2 linked regions of the Oryctolagus cuniculus genome follow. The main gene of each other region encodes a partner of the protein of the gene in region 2 in a complex. Links are inferred from orthologs where the notes say so. Each region holds a gene or a part of one and is shown on either strand. Other genes may lie near its edges.

Region 1 (7,642 bases), on a different chromosome or scaffold from region 2:
CACTGGCCGGCTCACCACTGTGCATATTAGGCAGCAGTGATGCTAAGAACAGGCTCAAAACAGGCTGAGAAAAGCTAACTAAATGGAACGACCGTGGAGCCCGGAGGAGGAAACCCAAGGCAGGATGCACTGGGAGGAGCCAGGGGCTCAGTTCTGTGAGTCCATTGGCAGCAGAGCAAGAGCAGTGTCTGAGCACCCTCCACGCTCACCCGCAAAATTCTGGACTCAAGACTGCAACAGAAATCTTTGAGTAGGCTGCTGAAAGAACTTCCCACTCACTAACAAGGAACTAGTGTGGGAGCTTGAGGATTTTAAATTAAGAACTTGAGAGCTATTACTTGTTCCCTGCTCCCAGCCAAGAGTGTAAGGCGAGAGGCCACAGTAAGGAAGGTGTTGCAGCGGTGGTGACAGACACTGGAGAGTGGCTCTCACTGGATGGCTCCTGTGGCCTCAGCATCACCTGGCATTTCGTAAACAAGGCAACACTCGTGGGCTCCACTTGCAGAAGCAGAGTCTGCATCCACAAAGCCCTGCTGGAGATTCTGAGGCTGGCTGAAGTTAGAGATCCAGTGATTTCCACGGGAGGAGAGATGACCTGTAGCTAACCTCGTGAGATCTCCCTGAGCCCACTGAGTCAGGGACACAACACAGGCCAGAGAAGAAGTGGGAGTTGAATCAGTATCTGGGGGTTCCCTTCTCTGTACGGACCAGGAAGAGATCATTCTGTCATCTCCAAGCTTTCCTGCTTTCAGGAGAGGCAGACTTTGACCAGATAAATTGATCAGACAGCTTGCAGGAAGCTGGCTAAAAACACAAGCTTTTGCATTCTTCAAAGGCCTCGCTTGTGTGGAAACCCACAGCCCTCCTGCCCCACTCCAGTGAGTCCCACAGAGCAGGGCACTCTAGCCTCAGCCTCACCCTCCTCGGTGACTCGGAGGGGAATCAGCCGCGTCGTCTTCACGAAGGGCCGGTGCGCCTCAAACTCAAACTCTCGGGACACGTTACAGGTGTAGAGGCCGGAGTCATTCAGAGTGACATTGAGCACGGTGATGGACACATCCTGCAGGTCCTTGCTCCCGTTCCACTGCAGGCGCCCCTGGAAGGGGCTCTCCACCTCCTGGTGGCCATTTCGGTACTCGTAGATCTGCAGGTACAGAGACAGAAGAGGATAGGGCCCAGAGAGGAGATAGAGTAGGACAGCAAGATGGGAATGGGGTAGAGAAGAATCGCAGGTGGTTAGGAAAGAGAGAGGACGCACCAGGAGACCTAGAATTTTTTGTTGGGGGAGGATGAGGAGATGCAAAGGGCAGGAGAGAACAAAGATGGAGAAAGATGGGCAGTGGGGCTGGCATTGTGGCATGGCAGGTTAGGCTACGCCTGTGGTGCTGGCATCCCATACAGGTGCCGGTTTGCATCCTGACTGCTCTACCTCTGATCCAGCTCCCTGCTAATGCACCTGGGAAAGCAGCAGAAGATGGCCCAAGTGCTTGGACCCTTGTACCCATGTGGGAGACCTGGATGGAGTTCCAGGCTCTTGGCTTCAGCCTGACCCCAGCCATTGTGGCTACTTGGAGAGTGAACCAGCAGGTGCAAGATTCTCACTCTCTTTCTTTCTCTGTCTTTCTCTCTCTGTCTCTCTCTCTCTCTCTCTCTCTCTGTTTCCCTGTCCTCCTACCTTTCAAATAAATAAAATAAATCTTGGGGGGAAAAAAGGAACGAGTTCAGCTTTAGGAAAGCAAGAAACAGGAGCTAGCAAAAGCCAGTTCCACCCAGGGCTGTCTCCATTAAAAATCTTTGTGCAAGAGAACCTGGCCCCAGAACAACAACGTGGTGTAATAAAAAGTGCCTTGTAACTGCTGTCAAATGCGAACTCTCTCTTACCTAACTTCCTGAGCCTCAGTTTCCCCACTTCTGTGTATATATCATTTCTCCGGGAAACAATACAGTGTTTCCTCGTATTCCAGGAAGTACTTTCTACTAACCCAGAAAATCAGAGCTCATGAGTCCTGGTAACAACCTATAAGGTAGCTATGTCACATACCCCATTTTTAAAACCAGGAAACAGGCAGAGAGAGGTTGGGTTGTGTGTTCCAGGGCACAGAGCTAAGAGTGGAATCCAGCCTCAAACCCAGGCACCCTGGCCCCAGAGTCAGTGGAAGAGTAGATAATGGTCACCTCCAAAGTGGGACTACAAACAGATGCTCACCAGCCATCTGTGCCACTGACATTGGCTGTGGCACAGGATCAGAGTTGGGAGGGCTCCCTGCTCTGCCAGAAGTGTGTGTCATGGGGAGGACTAGGGGTTCCTGGTGGGAGGGAGGGTGCTGGGGCCACATGGGAGGTGAGGCACAGCACGGACCCACTGGAGAACGAAGTAAACATTCTGCCCATGGATGCAGCTGGACAGCTGACCATCAGCCTTGGTCATCGCTTTCATCCTTATTTCTGTGTGACCTCAAGGAGCTAACCTGTGTTATTGCATATAACCGTGCTCTGTTTTATTTCAATTCTCCAGGGGATGGTGTGGGGAATTAAATGGAAATACTCGCCAAGTGCCTAGTTTTGTGCCTAGCCACAACCGGCTCTAAATACGGTTTATCTCCTCCTCATCCTTCTTCCTGCTGGTACCCAGGGGTGCTTGAGGCTGGCCAAGTGCCTTTCTCCCTGGTTCAAAGGAGCTGAGCTATACTAAGGCTGTCACTTATCCACTGAGGAGCTGTCAGCACTTGGAAGAAAAAAAAGCCCGAGTGTGCTAAATTGCCATCCCCTAGACTGTCAGGAGTCGGGCACACAACAGCAGAGACCAGCAAAAGAAAGGCCAAAGTCAGCCGGAGGACATACAAGGAAGTCTTTGCCGCCCTCGGGCCTGTAGAACCATTCCACTACCGTGGTGGCCTCCACCTCCTCCCTCTTCATGCAGGAGATGCAGCGCAGCTTCATGGGGGTGCCCTGGACAGCCTCCGTCTCCGAGGGCACTTCCACACACACGGGGAAGCAGACGCTGACTGCAGAGAGGGCGGGTGACAGGGAAGGAGGGGCAGGTGGCAGGGAGGGGCCGGTGAGAGGGGGGCATTGGGAAACGAGGAGAGAGGGAGGAGACAGAGAAGGAAGATCATGAGACAAACTTGAAAATAGCCACGGTCCACATGTCTGCACCTTCACCTGCACTTTCCAAGTGTGTGTGCTCAGAACTGGTGCGGAATGAGGTGGAGGGGACATGGATGGTCCAGACACAGACTGAAAGCCTGGCCCTGGAAGTGGTGGAGATGCAGCAGACGTGGACTTGAGCCCTGTCCTCAAAGGCTGGCAGGGAGAAAGGGCATGCGGGCATCATCTACGATCCATCCACGCCCTCATTCAACAGCCATTCACTGAAGTCCACTCTGTGTCAGGTCTGGTCCTCAACTAAAGATACAAAGATGAACAAAACACTAACCGTGCCCTCACGGCATTAATAACCTAGCAGGGAACACCTAGCCATAACTATGAGTAAGCCAGACCACAGAGCGTGGCATACTACTGGTGATGTGCTCTGTTCCCAGAGGGAGAGCGCTTAGTCACTCCTGGTTGCGCTGCGAGGAAGGCAGAGAGGCATGGGAAGGTGGACAGCACCCACGTTTTGAAGACCACCAGGTGTCCTTCAAAGCTGTGGAGCAGTGTACACATTTGTGTGTTTCATGGATGCTCTGAGTGATTCTGACGTGTGGTGGCAGATGGAGCAGCAGAGAGGAGCAGGGTACCCTGAGCACTAGGTGAAGCAGTGTGCGATGGGAGGAGCAGACTGACAAAGTTAAAAATCTAGAGGGAGGTCAGAACGTGGGCCACCTTGCATGCCACATGCAGATTTAGACTTACAGTCTGTTTTTTTTTTTAAAGTGAGTACATCATATTGCAAATTCAGAATGAATCCAAAGTGGGACACAGCTGCCAAGCAAGCAAGTGCCAGTGTGGGCTGCACTAACAGATGTAGTGTGCAGAAGGGAAGAGGAGCAGCCCGCCTGCACTGTTCAGAACAAATCTGGACTGTCAGGATCTGTTCAGGGTGCACATTTTACAAAAGGAACCTGTTGGATGCGTGCATGCCCAGAGAGCAGCAGGATGATGGGGGCCTGGGGACAAAGGGGAGGACTTGAAGGACTCAGCTCCAACACGGAACTTGTCTGACTTTTACTCTGATTCTGCCCACCTTCAACCGTGCTAAGAAAAAAAATAAGTTTGTTGCAATGAGAAGAGATTTCTGATGTTGCAGCGATTCATAAATGCAAAACTGTACTTGGTAAAAGAGTTTACCCCTCATTGCCTGGAAGATGCAGAGGTAAGACAACCACAAGCATTGTCATATAGGGACATTGAAGTTCCTTCAGATGCTCCCTTTGCATGAGTTAATAATAAAAGCAGAGTCCCTGAAGTATAACAAATGAAAACAATACTCACTGATATTTTAAAACTAGTCCACTGTTGGTGGTGAGACAGAGAATACAGAGAACCCTTTTCTAAAAACAGAAGAGGGACGATGTTTATGATGCAGTAGATTAAGCTGTTTGCAGTGCTGGCTTCTCAGAGTACCAGTGTGAATCCTGGCTACTCTGCTTCCAATCCAGATTCCTGCTAATCTGCCTGAGAAGGTAGCAGAAGATGGCTCAAGTACCTGGGTCCCTGTCACTCACGTGGGAGACCAGGATGGAGTTCCTGGCTCCTGGATTCAGCTGGACCAAACCTGACTGTGGCAGCCATTTGGGAAGAGAACCAGCAGAATTTAAGACCTCTTCCTCTCTTTATCTCTCCCCTTCTCTCTATCCCTCTGCATTTCCATCTTTTAAAAAAGAGATTTATTTATTTATTTGAAAGAGTTACACAAAGAGAGAAGGAGAGGTGTGTGTGTTGGGGGGGTCTTCCATCCGCTGGTTTACTCCCCAATTGGCTGCAACAGCCAGAGCTGTGCCGATCTGAAGCCAGGAGCTTCTTCCAGGCCAAAGGACCTGGGCCATCTTCTACTGCTTTCCCAGGCTATAGCAGAGAGCTGGATTGAAAGTGGAGCAGCCGGGACTCCAATTGGCACCCATATGAGATGCTGGCACTGGAGGCAGTGGCTTTACTCACTATACCACAGTGCCGGCCCCAAATAAATCTTTTTTTAAAAAAAGCACAGAAAAGCTTTTTTTAGAGCTTAAAATGAAACTGGTATAAACTAATTTTGAATCAAAAAATTAAATATTGTGTTTGACTAGAAGGAAACAAATTTCATTTTTAAACATAGAGTTAAAATCAGCAGCACTATAATTAACTTAAAGTTTAAAAAACTCAAAGCAAAGTAATATTAATTGTATTTGAAACTCTCAAGAAATTCAAGGCAGTGTTATCTGGCCATCTGGTCATCACTTGCATGGACAGAGGGTCCACACTGGGATAAGTGAGCAGAAGCATCTTCAGGGGCCAGCACTGTGGTGCAGTGGGTTAAAGCCCTGGCCTGAAGCACCAGCATCCCATAAGGGTGCCAGTTCTAGTCCCGGCTGCTCCTCTTCTGATCCAGCTCTCTGCTATGGCCTGGGAAAGCAGTAGAAGATGACCCAAGCATTTGGGCCCCTGCACCCACATGGGAGACCTGGAGGAAGCTCCTGGCTCCTGGCTTTGGATCGGTGCAGCTCCGGTTGTTGCGGCCATCTGGGGAGTGAACAAGCAGATAGAAGACCTCTCGCTCTCTCTCTCTTTCTCTCTCTGTAACTCTTTCAAATAAATAAAAATAAAATCTTTAAAAAAAAAGCATCTTCAGCATCTAATGAGTTTGAAGTCTTGAATATAGAATGATTTTTTTCTTTTAAAATAGAGGTATGGTTTTTGTACAAGTTTGTGAGTGGACAGAGGGGCAGAAGGCACGCAGCCAGAACACTGCAGCATGCAACCCTGGGTGCACTCACATTGAATGAGCGGTGGTAAAGATGACAGATTTCGTTGGTGACCTCAGGAGCCGAATAGGAAAAATCCCAAGGAACATCCAGTTATAGTGATAGAGGCTGCAGGAAGATGGGTTACTGCCACTGAATGACTGGGTTTGGTCTATGACTTCACACCTCTTAAGATTCAACTTTTCATGAACAAGAAGCTGAAAATAACCTCTATCTGTCAGGAGAATTCTACACATTAACTTATGTAAATGTGCTCTGTAGAAATGTCATTCATGAATGCTTTTTAATCCTTCATTTCTTTGACAAATATGTCCAGTACCAGGCGTTGTTCTCGGCACTGAGGACACAACAGGAACCAAACAGAACCATCCCTGCTCTCATGCAGGTTACATTCCACTGCGGGGGGGGGGGGGCATAAATAAACATTGGTTCAGTGCTATAAGAAAAAATACAATGGGGGAGACGAGAGAGAAAGCACATGAAGCCGCTGGGGATGGCCCCAGGGAGAGAGTAACACTGAGCGGCCACTGAAGGAAAGAAGGAAGGCAAGACATTGTAGGGGTATCTGTGCCATAGGAAATGGTAGCTCCAGAGCACACGGGTCCCAAGGTGTGTGTCTGTCATGCTTGAAAGCCAAGAAAGAACCCACGGTGCGAAGCATGGTGGACCAAGCAGGAATAAAAGGGAAGCAAGCAGGAGAGGATGTCAGGGGCCTAATCACGGCAGCTCTTGCAGCCCACGGTTAATTTGAATGCTGGTTCTTGCTTGGAGCAGTACCAGGAACACCGGAGGCCTCCAAATGCAAGGATGATATGATCTGATTGGTGTAAAATGACACGATGTGACCATTGTTGAGAATCAGCTGGGGAGGTGAAGGGGAACTAGAGTGGGTGCAGAGAGAATGAGCTGGTGCAGTGACAGGAGCCAAGATTTCACTTCATTGAAGATGTGGAACTGTGGGGGTTTGAAAGCGAATCATTTGGGGCCAGTGCTGTGGTGTAGCAGGTAAAGCCGCCGCCTGCAGTGCCGGCATCCCTTATGGGCGCCAGTTCTAGTCTGCTGCTCCATTTCCGATCCAGCTCTCTGCTATGGCCTGGAAAAGCAGTAGAAGATGGCCAAGTCCTTGGGCCCCTGCACTCGCGTGGGAGACCCAGAAGAAGCTCCTGGCTCCTGGCTTCAGATCGGCGCAGCTCTAGCCATTGCAGCCATCTGGGGAGTGAACCATTGGATGGAAGATCTCTCTCTCTCTCTCTCTCTCTCTCTCTCTCTCTCTCTGCCTCTCCTTTTCTGTGTAACTCTGACTTTCAAATAAATAATTGATAAATCTTTAAAGAAAGGGAATCATTTGTTGGATTACCCTCCTTGAGTAGGTGAGAGGTGACATGCTCTCATGAACAAGTAGATAGGGTAGCAGAGACAGGAGCACCTACAGTTAAAGGCGGGGAGGGGGATACATGGAGTCATGATGAACATGTGTCCCTGAGGGGACGGTAATCCAGATACCATCAGGGTGCAAGCTTCCCTGCTCCTGGCTGAAGTCCAGCTTCAAGGCACTCTTCTGGATAATACAATGCAAATGACCACAAAGTCCTCTGTTTGCTTGCCCTTTGCAATATGACTTACTACTCTTTCCATCAGGAGGTGAAGTCTGTTTGTCCACTCATGGAGTCTCCAACCCACCCCTGCCTATGCTCCTATGAGACCCTCTGTGTATCCAGGAGAAGGCTGTGCATAAGTTA
Region 2 (8,240 bases):
GAGAAGCACCTGGCTCCTGGCATTGGATCAGTGCGGTGTGCAGGCTGCAGCACGCCGGCCACAGCGGCCATTGGGGAGTGAACCAACGGACAAGGAATACCTTTCTCTCTGTCTCTCTCTCTCACTGTCCACTCTGCCTGTCAAAAAAAAAAAAAAAAATTCTTATGTTCTTCACATTACTGTGAACTATGGCCAGATCCTAAAGTGAATCACCTCATTCTTCCTGGAAGCTCACATTGACTAGGTACACTTGGTGACAATTCCTTTAGCAAATTTACTGTGTAGCTAATACTTTACACCCTCTGTTCTAAGCACCACTGGGCAGTGTGGAATAAACAAGTGCTAGCTGTCAAGCAGTATGCATCTTAGTGGAACAAGAAAAAATAAACAAATAAGCAATAGATATTTAGTGCAACAGATCAGCAGTATAGAGAAAGACAAAGCAGTTGCTAACTATGACAAGATTCAAAGTGTGAGTGTGGAAATTAATAGTTAAGTAGCATGGAGAAAATGTAATTTATTAGGGCTTTGGACATTGGATGTTTCATACAATGTTCCTTGTATTCAAATAGATGAAGAGTTATTAAGAATGACAGCAAGAGTTCAGACGGAGGGGAAGACTGCCAACCAAAAAATAAATTTTTAATAAATAATAAAGTCATAGAGTCAGAAGATTATTATGATCAGAAAAGGAAAAGGATGGTAGAGCTGGAGGACATATTTTCACTCAAAGGCAGATTTGATTTTTTAAATTTTTTTTAGGTTTGGGAACACTTGTTTTCTTGTCTTTTTTTTTTTTTTAATAGATTGTTTTGTAAACCCTGATGTATTCATGTGGATTGAGAATGAAACCACCAGGTCCATGTACTTTCCTGCAGTAACACCTGTGTGGTTAGAATTAAACAACCGCATTTAAATAGGCTACAAGGAAAGTAATGAACCCAGGAAGCCAACTGGCTCAGGTTTAGTTAGAAATAGCGATTTCTCCTGAAAAGGCAGAGAATGGGGGTTTAGAGCTTCCATTTTTTTCTGAATACCCTTAAGAAGCACATGGAACACACGATTGTAAGTTTCTTAAGGTAAAAGAGTGGAAAACGGGCCTCTCTAACCACCACTTCTCTTGGCTGAGAAATTCAGTGGGCTGGATAGTGCAGGAGGAGGAAAGAGATTATGTTTCTCAGTTCACTACTAGGAGCAGAAACATTACCAAGATATTTCAGATCTAGCCCAGCAGTGTCACCCAACAGTAATAGCAAAATATTTGTTCCAGAACAACAGAAATGTTGCTGAACGTAGACTAGAGACTCATTACATTGGTTTCCCTTGTGTTTGCCTCTTGTTTTGTGCAATACCTTATGAGGGACTGCCAGTGTTACACATCATAGAAAGCAATGCTTCTCTTTACTTATTTCCAAATACCTTACTGAAGCTTTTTGTATGAGTATTGCTAAGTTTCTAAAGTTCATATTATATTTGAATTTACTGCCAGGAGCATAGAATTTTAGTAGTTCAGAAAGTATGCTTCGTTATGATTGCTTCAGGGGAATGTCCTAACACACTACAAAATATGCTTGCATCGTCATCACAGTGTGGAGAAGTGAAGCTGGAAAACTATACGTTGTGGAATACTTTTTTGTATACCTTAAATAAAATTTAAAAAGACCTTTGAAAAGTGAAGGTAAAAATAAAAAGCCTGAAGAGAGAAAAAGAACACGAGTGGGTGCTTGATTCTGCAAAATAATCATTCCTGATTTTTTTAAGTGTAAGGATGGTATTGGATTAAATGCTTTAAAACTTCTTGTTATTTATAGATATGCTGATTTTTGGATTAAATAACGTGCTGTCTGATAAAAGGGTTAGAGAATGAATGTTCTGTGGTGTGGCAACAATTTTTCCAAACTCCTTTTTGGAAAAGACCCAGCACCCCTCTTCCCTTCTCCTACAAAACTACACTGTAGTTCCCCAGGTTTTAAAAGTATGCACAATTTTTCCTCTATCTCTTGTGTTTCAAATCACCAGAGTAGGAAAGAAATCTGGAGGTAGGAGATTATAGTAGCTCTAGCTGTCTCTTCCTTAACAGCTACACACCTGCACACACAACAGCACACAGTCATCACAGCCCTGTCCAGATTGCGATGTTGCACGTTGACAATTGCCCCTGTAAGCTGCAGAGGGGTAGCGAGGCAAGGCGAGAGAGAAACAACTGCAGATACAGAGCCTAACTGTGCTGCCTTCCTCTCTTCCCCTCTCCTCACCATGCTTTTCATTACCCACCTCCCCAATTTAACCGCAGCCGGCTCTTCTATGGCTTTTCTCTTAATTACCGTAAACCCTCCTAGTGTTATCTCAGCTCCCTCCTCCTCACCAATCCCCGAATCTCTCGCCCCTCCTCGTCCAGGTAGGTAGAGCAGACGCCACAGCTGCCGCTGCTATTGCCTCCGCAGCGGATCCCATCAAGATCTCCCCGCCCACGCCCGATCCGGGCTGAAGTCTCGCACTGGCCTGGGGATGAGGGCGGGGGAGAGAGTGGCGTGGCTGGGAGAGGGGAGGGGGGACGTGGGAAGGAGACAAAAACAGCTTTCAAGCGGCGGGCGCGGCTCCACTTGGCATCTGGGCAGCGGGTCTGGGGTCAGTCTTGGGAAGCCACCCGGTGACTGGTTTTGCAGCTGGTAATTCAGTGGGGCTCAGCTGTGGCCTGAGTGTTAGCCCCTGTAGGGAGCAGACGCCTGCCTGCCGAGCAACACCTTCTAAGCAATCAGAACTCAGGAAACCAGAGGGATCTGTGAAGAGAGGGAAGCCCAGGAGGAGGCCAGAGCTCCAAGGAGCCCTGCTTCTCAGGGGTCCCTTAGGTGCTGGTGGCGACCTGTCATTTGGTAGCAAGTAAGTGCCTTTTTCTTGCTGTCACGCCCAGCCCCAGGAAAGTGATAGGCACCATCTGCGGCCTGCCTTTCCCACCCCCCAATCTGCCCCACCCCCTGCACACCCTTAGGGTCCCCACAGGAGGATGGAAGTTGAAGACTCTGGGTATGAGTTAAGAGAGCTATTCTGAGAGCAGCAGTGGTCTGTGGGGTTTGCTCTATGCTGAGTGTGCGGTCAGTTATCTCATCCCACCAGGTAAGCTGCTAAACCAAGATTCTCTCTGAGTATACTATTTCTAGAAACCTTATATGACTTGTATTATGTGACACAAAGATAGTGTAGAAGGAATGAAAGGTTAAGCAAAATGAAGTATGCTTTTTCCAATGGATTTCTTCTTTCATTCTAAGTACTTTAGTGATTTCAAGGTCAGTGCTTTTCACGTAAGAATTGCCAATGTAAAAGTAGAGGCATCGATATCATTGGAAATGCTCAGTTTAAACAGGTAGTCATAGGTATTGTTTGCAGCAATAGGGCAGTGAGGATTTGGTTTTTCTTTTTCCTGTTTTTTTAAACTGTGAAAATGCATACCTTCTGGAGGTTTTGTTTTAGAAGTGATGATGTGACTCTAGTTATGTTACCTCCAATACTTGAGACATTGATGAAAAGAGAACAAATGATGAATCCATGTGAATAATAGATTGAAGGCCCTTCATTAATGGAAATGATGGAATCAAGTGTGGATATTGGTCAGAAAAATATCTTGAAATGAAAGGCATTTGGCATTGCTTTTTGAGAGGTTCCTCCTGATTATCGTTCAAGAGAGTAGATTATGGCAAAGCTGAAGGAGAGGAGAGTCTGTAATAAACTGAGTCCTGGGTAGCAAACTTGCTATGACCAAAGGTTTCATAATCTAGCTACTAATTCTACAAATAAGAAACATAAGGTTTATATGAAGTCATTTGGTGAGGTTACCAGGCTAATCAACAAATGAGCTGGAAATACAATGAAAGAGACTTTGGAATTTAGAATTGTAATACTTGATTTCCATTTGTGTGCAGATGAAGTAAACTGCTTCAGTTGATGAAGCTTTGTTTTTCTTATCTGTACATGATATATTAAAAAATTCTAAGGATTAACTGACAGATATTACATGAAATGTTTTGTGAAAGAAATATCATGTATAACTGTTGGTTGCATTAAGGAATAACTCAGTTTCTATCTACCATTCTGGTTTGCATGTTAAATCAAATTCAATATGAGAATAAAGAAGGCTTTCCTATGCTTCTCTAGAATAACCAAGAGGAAGTCAAATTCAAGTTTATTTTTTGCCAGCTGTACAATTTAAAGTATATTTTAACCTCCATTCTTAAAAAGGATGCGCCATGGCTAGACACTCATATTCAAACATTCTTGTAAATTGTCCAAATATGCTTTGCCTCCTTTGTCTTTTTAAATGTTGTTTTAGGGGTGTGTGTGGGGTTCCACTTCTTGGGAATGAAATTATTAAGTATGTTGGATATTGCATAATTTATTTGTTCTGCAAATTAATAATAGGAGAAATCAAAATTTAGTCATAAATACTCTTAACTGCAGAGGTTTCTTAAAATATTGCACTCAGGAAAGAGGTAGAGTGAGTCCATTGTTTTCCATGGACATGTTTAAAGTGGTGGAAGAAAGACCTTAAGATGGACATAGGCTCTGGAAAAGGGCCCAGTAGATCCCAGATAACACAGTTGGGCCCCTGGACCTGCTGCTGAATCAGTCTCCATTGGAGAACTGAAGATAGAGCAAAGAATTAGGAACTGGGCATTGTCTCCATAGTCTAATGCAGTAGAAATTTTGGAAAGGTAGTTGACATATATTCTCATTGATTTTGCCCAAGTAGAATGAATACATGGCTATGCGTCCTAGAAACAAACAGTTAAAAAAACAACTGTATTTTCCTCAATCCCTCACTTAGGAAAGAACTGTCCTAATACAACCTAGTTCCAGATTTCTCTGGCATAACATTTGCATCATAACTGGGCAATCAGAGACGAACCTAGATCTCTCTACTACCATGTTGGACCCTCTCTTAAGAGTTGGTTATGGAAGCATTCGTCTAAAAGGGACACTCTTTGGTTTCTGGGAGCCTGATCCCATTTTGTCCCAATAGGCTATAGCAGTTTGAGCTATTTGTGACAGAGATGTCCGTAACCCTTGCCCACCTCCACCAGCTGTCAGTGGTGCTCAGTCACCTATGGTCACATGGGACTTAGTTTTCTCTGCCTTGATCCCCTTCTATTAGTGTGGGTTAACCAATGTCAGGTAAGTATATCTCATCTTAGTAACAGTCAAAGAGGGAGCCTCTGAAGTAAAAGGAAAAGTTTTTATCCAAAAGCTTTTAGGAGAATTTTTCAGCTCATGCATATCTCCTGACCCAGCTAAAATTGTGATTTCCATGCATTTGTTTAATTACTCTTTTAAAAAACCTGGCTCCATCTTGGTACACTCCATTATAATAGCCCTAGATAATGACATCCCTATTGTCTGTGTGGTCTCTCTAACTGGGTTGAGTTGGCCTGGTGTTGGCTTAGGATCACTAGCTGTGTGGACAGGATACCTCTGAATGTAGTGCAAATCACATACTTGTCTGGTTGCATCAGCATCAAAGAGCTTGACAGAAACACTGAAACTGAAGCCTCTCAGATAGAAATTTTGACAGAAATGTCTGAGATTGGGATGGATTTTAAACTACAATAGCAGATGATACTGATTTAGGGACCGCTGTCCCCTGATTAAATGTTGTGTTGAGTACTATATTACATCCTTTCTGCTTTAAACAGTAGAGCAAACCTCCCAGACCACCAACCTCTCATTCTCTGAGTTTTCCCAGAGGCTTCATGCTCTAAGCACCAGATTACTGGTTCTAATTTTGTCTCCAATCCCTATCTGCTCTCTTCCCTGGACCCCAGAGCCCTATTTTTGACACTCAGAGTCATGTTCACTCTATTATATTGCGATTTTCTCTCTAGTTGCACTCCCATTTAAGGTGTGGGTTTGTACATTTGGGTCCATATTTGAGAGTGGTTTCTGGGAGGGGGGGATTCCTGGAAAAGCATACAGACTCTGTAAGAGGTCTCCAGGATTCCAGTAAATATAAGAAAGCTGGTACTTTTGTATCCTATGGGTAACTTTTTTCCTCCTTGTGTGTGTTTTTGTTACTTTTGTGAAAATAAATGTTGGAAGAATCATAAGTAAAAAAAAAAAAAAAAAAAAAAAAAAAAAAAAATTTGAAAAGATGTGTTTTGTAGATCCAGTGGCATCTAAAACTATAGATCAAAAAAGCTCTTGTGATGCTGGTGAGTATCCAAGTTACATTCATGACAGAATCTCCTTTGCGTGACACAAATAGGGGCAACAGTGGATTCCTCTCTTTTGAGCTCTGGCTTCTCTTGGCTTCTGGCTGACAAGGGTCTGACTGACAAGGGTCATAAGAATAGTTAGCTTGAACGAACAGAGAGATTCTGACTTTTCCCCAACATGCTTGTTTTGTGTACTGGACATGCACAACGTGGAAGTTTCCATCATATCACAGAACAAGGAACCCTGTTAGTGAACCATGGAGTTTCATAGGGAAGCTGAAATTAATGTATTGAAAACAAAGAAGTTTTCTTTTTCGTTTCTGGGACCCTTCCCTGTCTCTGCTGTCTGGTCAGTCACAATGGCTCACCGTAGTGAGACTGCATCTTCTACCAAGTATTAATGTCCTGTGTATCCTCTCCAAGCCTCCACATTTTCACTGAACTTTCCTTGAAATCATTCTTGCGTGTGACTTTGAGATGGGTGCTGGTCTCCGACTTTGTCATGTGTCTGTCCACTCTTCTAGTAAGGAGTATAGATTGACTGTGCCTTTCTGAATGTGCATGATTGCACTCATCCTCCCTGAAAAGGAGTCACTGGCAAAGACCTCAGCTCCTGATTGTCATGAACCATTGCTAGAATCTAAATTTATTACACTTTGCAGGGAGTTTGTTTCTCCAAAGAGGACTTTTCACTTTGAGAAGAGAGGGGACATGTCTCCTTGGTTTTTGCTGGTGCTTATTTACATACTAGGTGATATCCTGGTTATTTAATTCAGGGTAGAAGCCTAAATTTAAATTCTTAAGAATCACAACCAAAACAAATAACATCACAAAAACAAAAATTATTCTTTTTTAAGATGAAGAAAAAAATGATTGTTTTTTGTTTTCACTTAGCATGATGGTCTCTAGGTTCATTCACTGATTGAAGCTTAGGTTGGTTCCATATCTAGCTGTTATAAATAATGCTGCAATGAACTTGCATATCTCTTTGGTGTACTGACTTCAATTTATTTGAATAAACACTTATTGTGACAATGTTGATGATTCTGGAGGACATTATGCTAAGTGATAAAAAGACAAATACAGCTGTTCAGTACCTCTGGAGGGTTAATTCCAGGACCCCCACTATATACCACAATCTGAGAATGTTCAAATCCTTTTATATGAAATGATGTGATATTTTTATTTAACCTTTTGCATATCTCCTTTATACTTTAAATCCTCTCTAGGTTATTTATAATACCTTACACAATATAAGTGCTACAGAGTTCGTATATTGTATCTTTAGGGGATATTGACAAGAAAATAAATATATGATCAGTACAAATGCATTTTTTTCTGCATAATTCTGAACCACATTTGATGAAATCCATGAATGCAGAACCCACAGACACAGAGGACTGGATCAGCTGGGCTGTATGATCTCATTCATGTGGAAACTTCCAAAGCTAAACGCAGAAGTAGAGAGGAGAATGGAAGTTACTGGAAGCTCAGAGAAGAGGCGTAGATGAGGGAAAGGGAAATGTTGGTCAAAGTATACCATGTTTCGGGTAGTGATATATGGCACAGTATGGTGGCAATAGCTAACTAATGATGTATTTTGTATTTCAAAACTATTAAAATAGCAGATTTGGAATGTTTTCACAAGTAAATGATAAGTATGTGTGCTATGGTTGTAATGATCAGTTTGATTTAATCATCCCACAATATGTATGTGCATGCATCATCACATTGTACCCCATGAATATATACAATTGTTTTTATCATATATAAAATTTTATAAAATAGGCAACACATACTTATTTTTTTGATAAAGCTGCTTATTTACAATTTCTTCCACAAGATAACATAGTCTAGGGATGTGTTGGCTGAAATTGTCAGAGTGAGAGAATTGAAACCAGAATTGTTGATATATTGAGGAATCAGACAGGAAGCCAAAATGAGATGACCTGAGAACAGAACATGGCATGGCTGTGTGTAGAATCCATGCCCAAGAACAAGGTTGCAAAAGTGAATTGTTAAGCTAGACAAACTGTC

What was found. The genes of interacting proteins can lie anywhere in the genome.
Region 1: the proteins of SCN7A (region 2) and SCN3B are in contact, whole or in part, in a cryo-EM structure (PDB 7TJ9), measured with the Homo sapiens proteins. The link is inferred for Oryctolagus cuniculus from reciprocal best matches to the Homo sapiens genes SCN7A and SCN3B. Residues at the interface, in NP_002967.2 of Homo sapiens: Arg269, Glu293, Tyr296, Leu298, Glu299, Leu305, Gln315, Cys316, Pro317, Glu318, Gly319, Tyr320, Asn922, Ile923, Thr926, Cys927, Lys929, Ile930, Phe939, Ile956, Tyr957, Asp959, Gln960, Ile966, Tyr970, Met973, Ile974, Tyr977, Ile978, Leu981; in NP_001035241.1 of Homo sapiens: Val25, Cys26, Val27, Glu28, Val29, Arg44, Ile46, Lys50, Arg51, Glu52, Glu53, Val54, Asn95, Gly96, Ser97, Asp99, Gln101, Asp102, Phe126, Phe128, Ala130, His131, Pro133, Val135, Thr154, Ser155, Ser158, Glu159, Met162, Leu165.

What each region holds. Positions count from the first base shown.
Region 1 is NC_091432.1:116,010,608-116,018,249, forward strand, and holds part of SCN3B (sodium channel regulatory subunit beta-3), read right to left. Parts: intron 3,006-7,642; coding exon 2,842-3,005; intron 1,145-2,841; coding exon 919-1,144; intron 1-918. UniProt on the Homo sapiens protein: Regulatory subunit of multiple voltage-gated sodium (Nav) channels directly mediating the depolarization of excitable membranes.
Region 2 is NC_091434.1:74,877,671-74,885,910, forward strand, and holds the start of SCN7A (sodium channel protein type 7 subunit alpha), read left to right. Parts: upstream 1-2,595; 5' UTR 2,596-2,880; intron 2,881-2,989; 5' UTR 2,990-3,114; intron 3,115-8,240. UniProt on the Homo sapiens protein: Sodium leak channel functioning as an osmosensor regulating sodium ion levels in various tissues and organs. While most sodium channels are voltage-gated, SCN7A is not and lets sodium flow through membrane along its concentration gradient.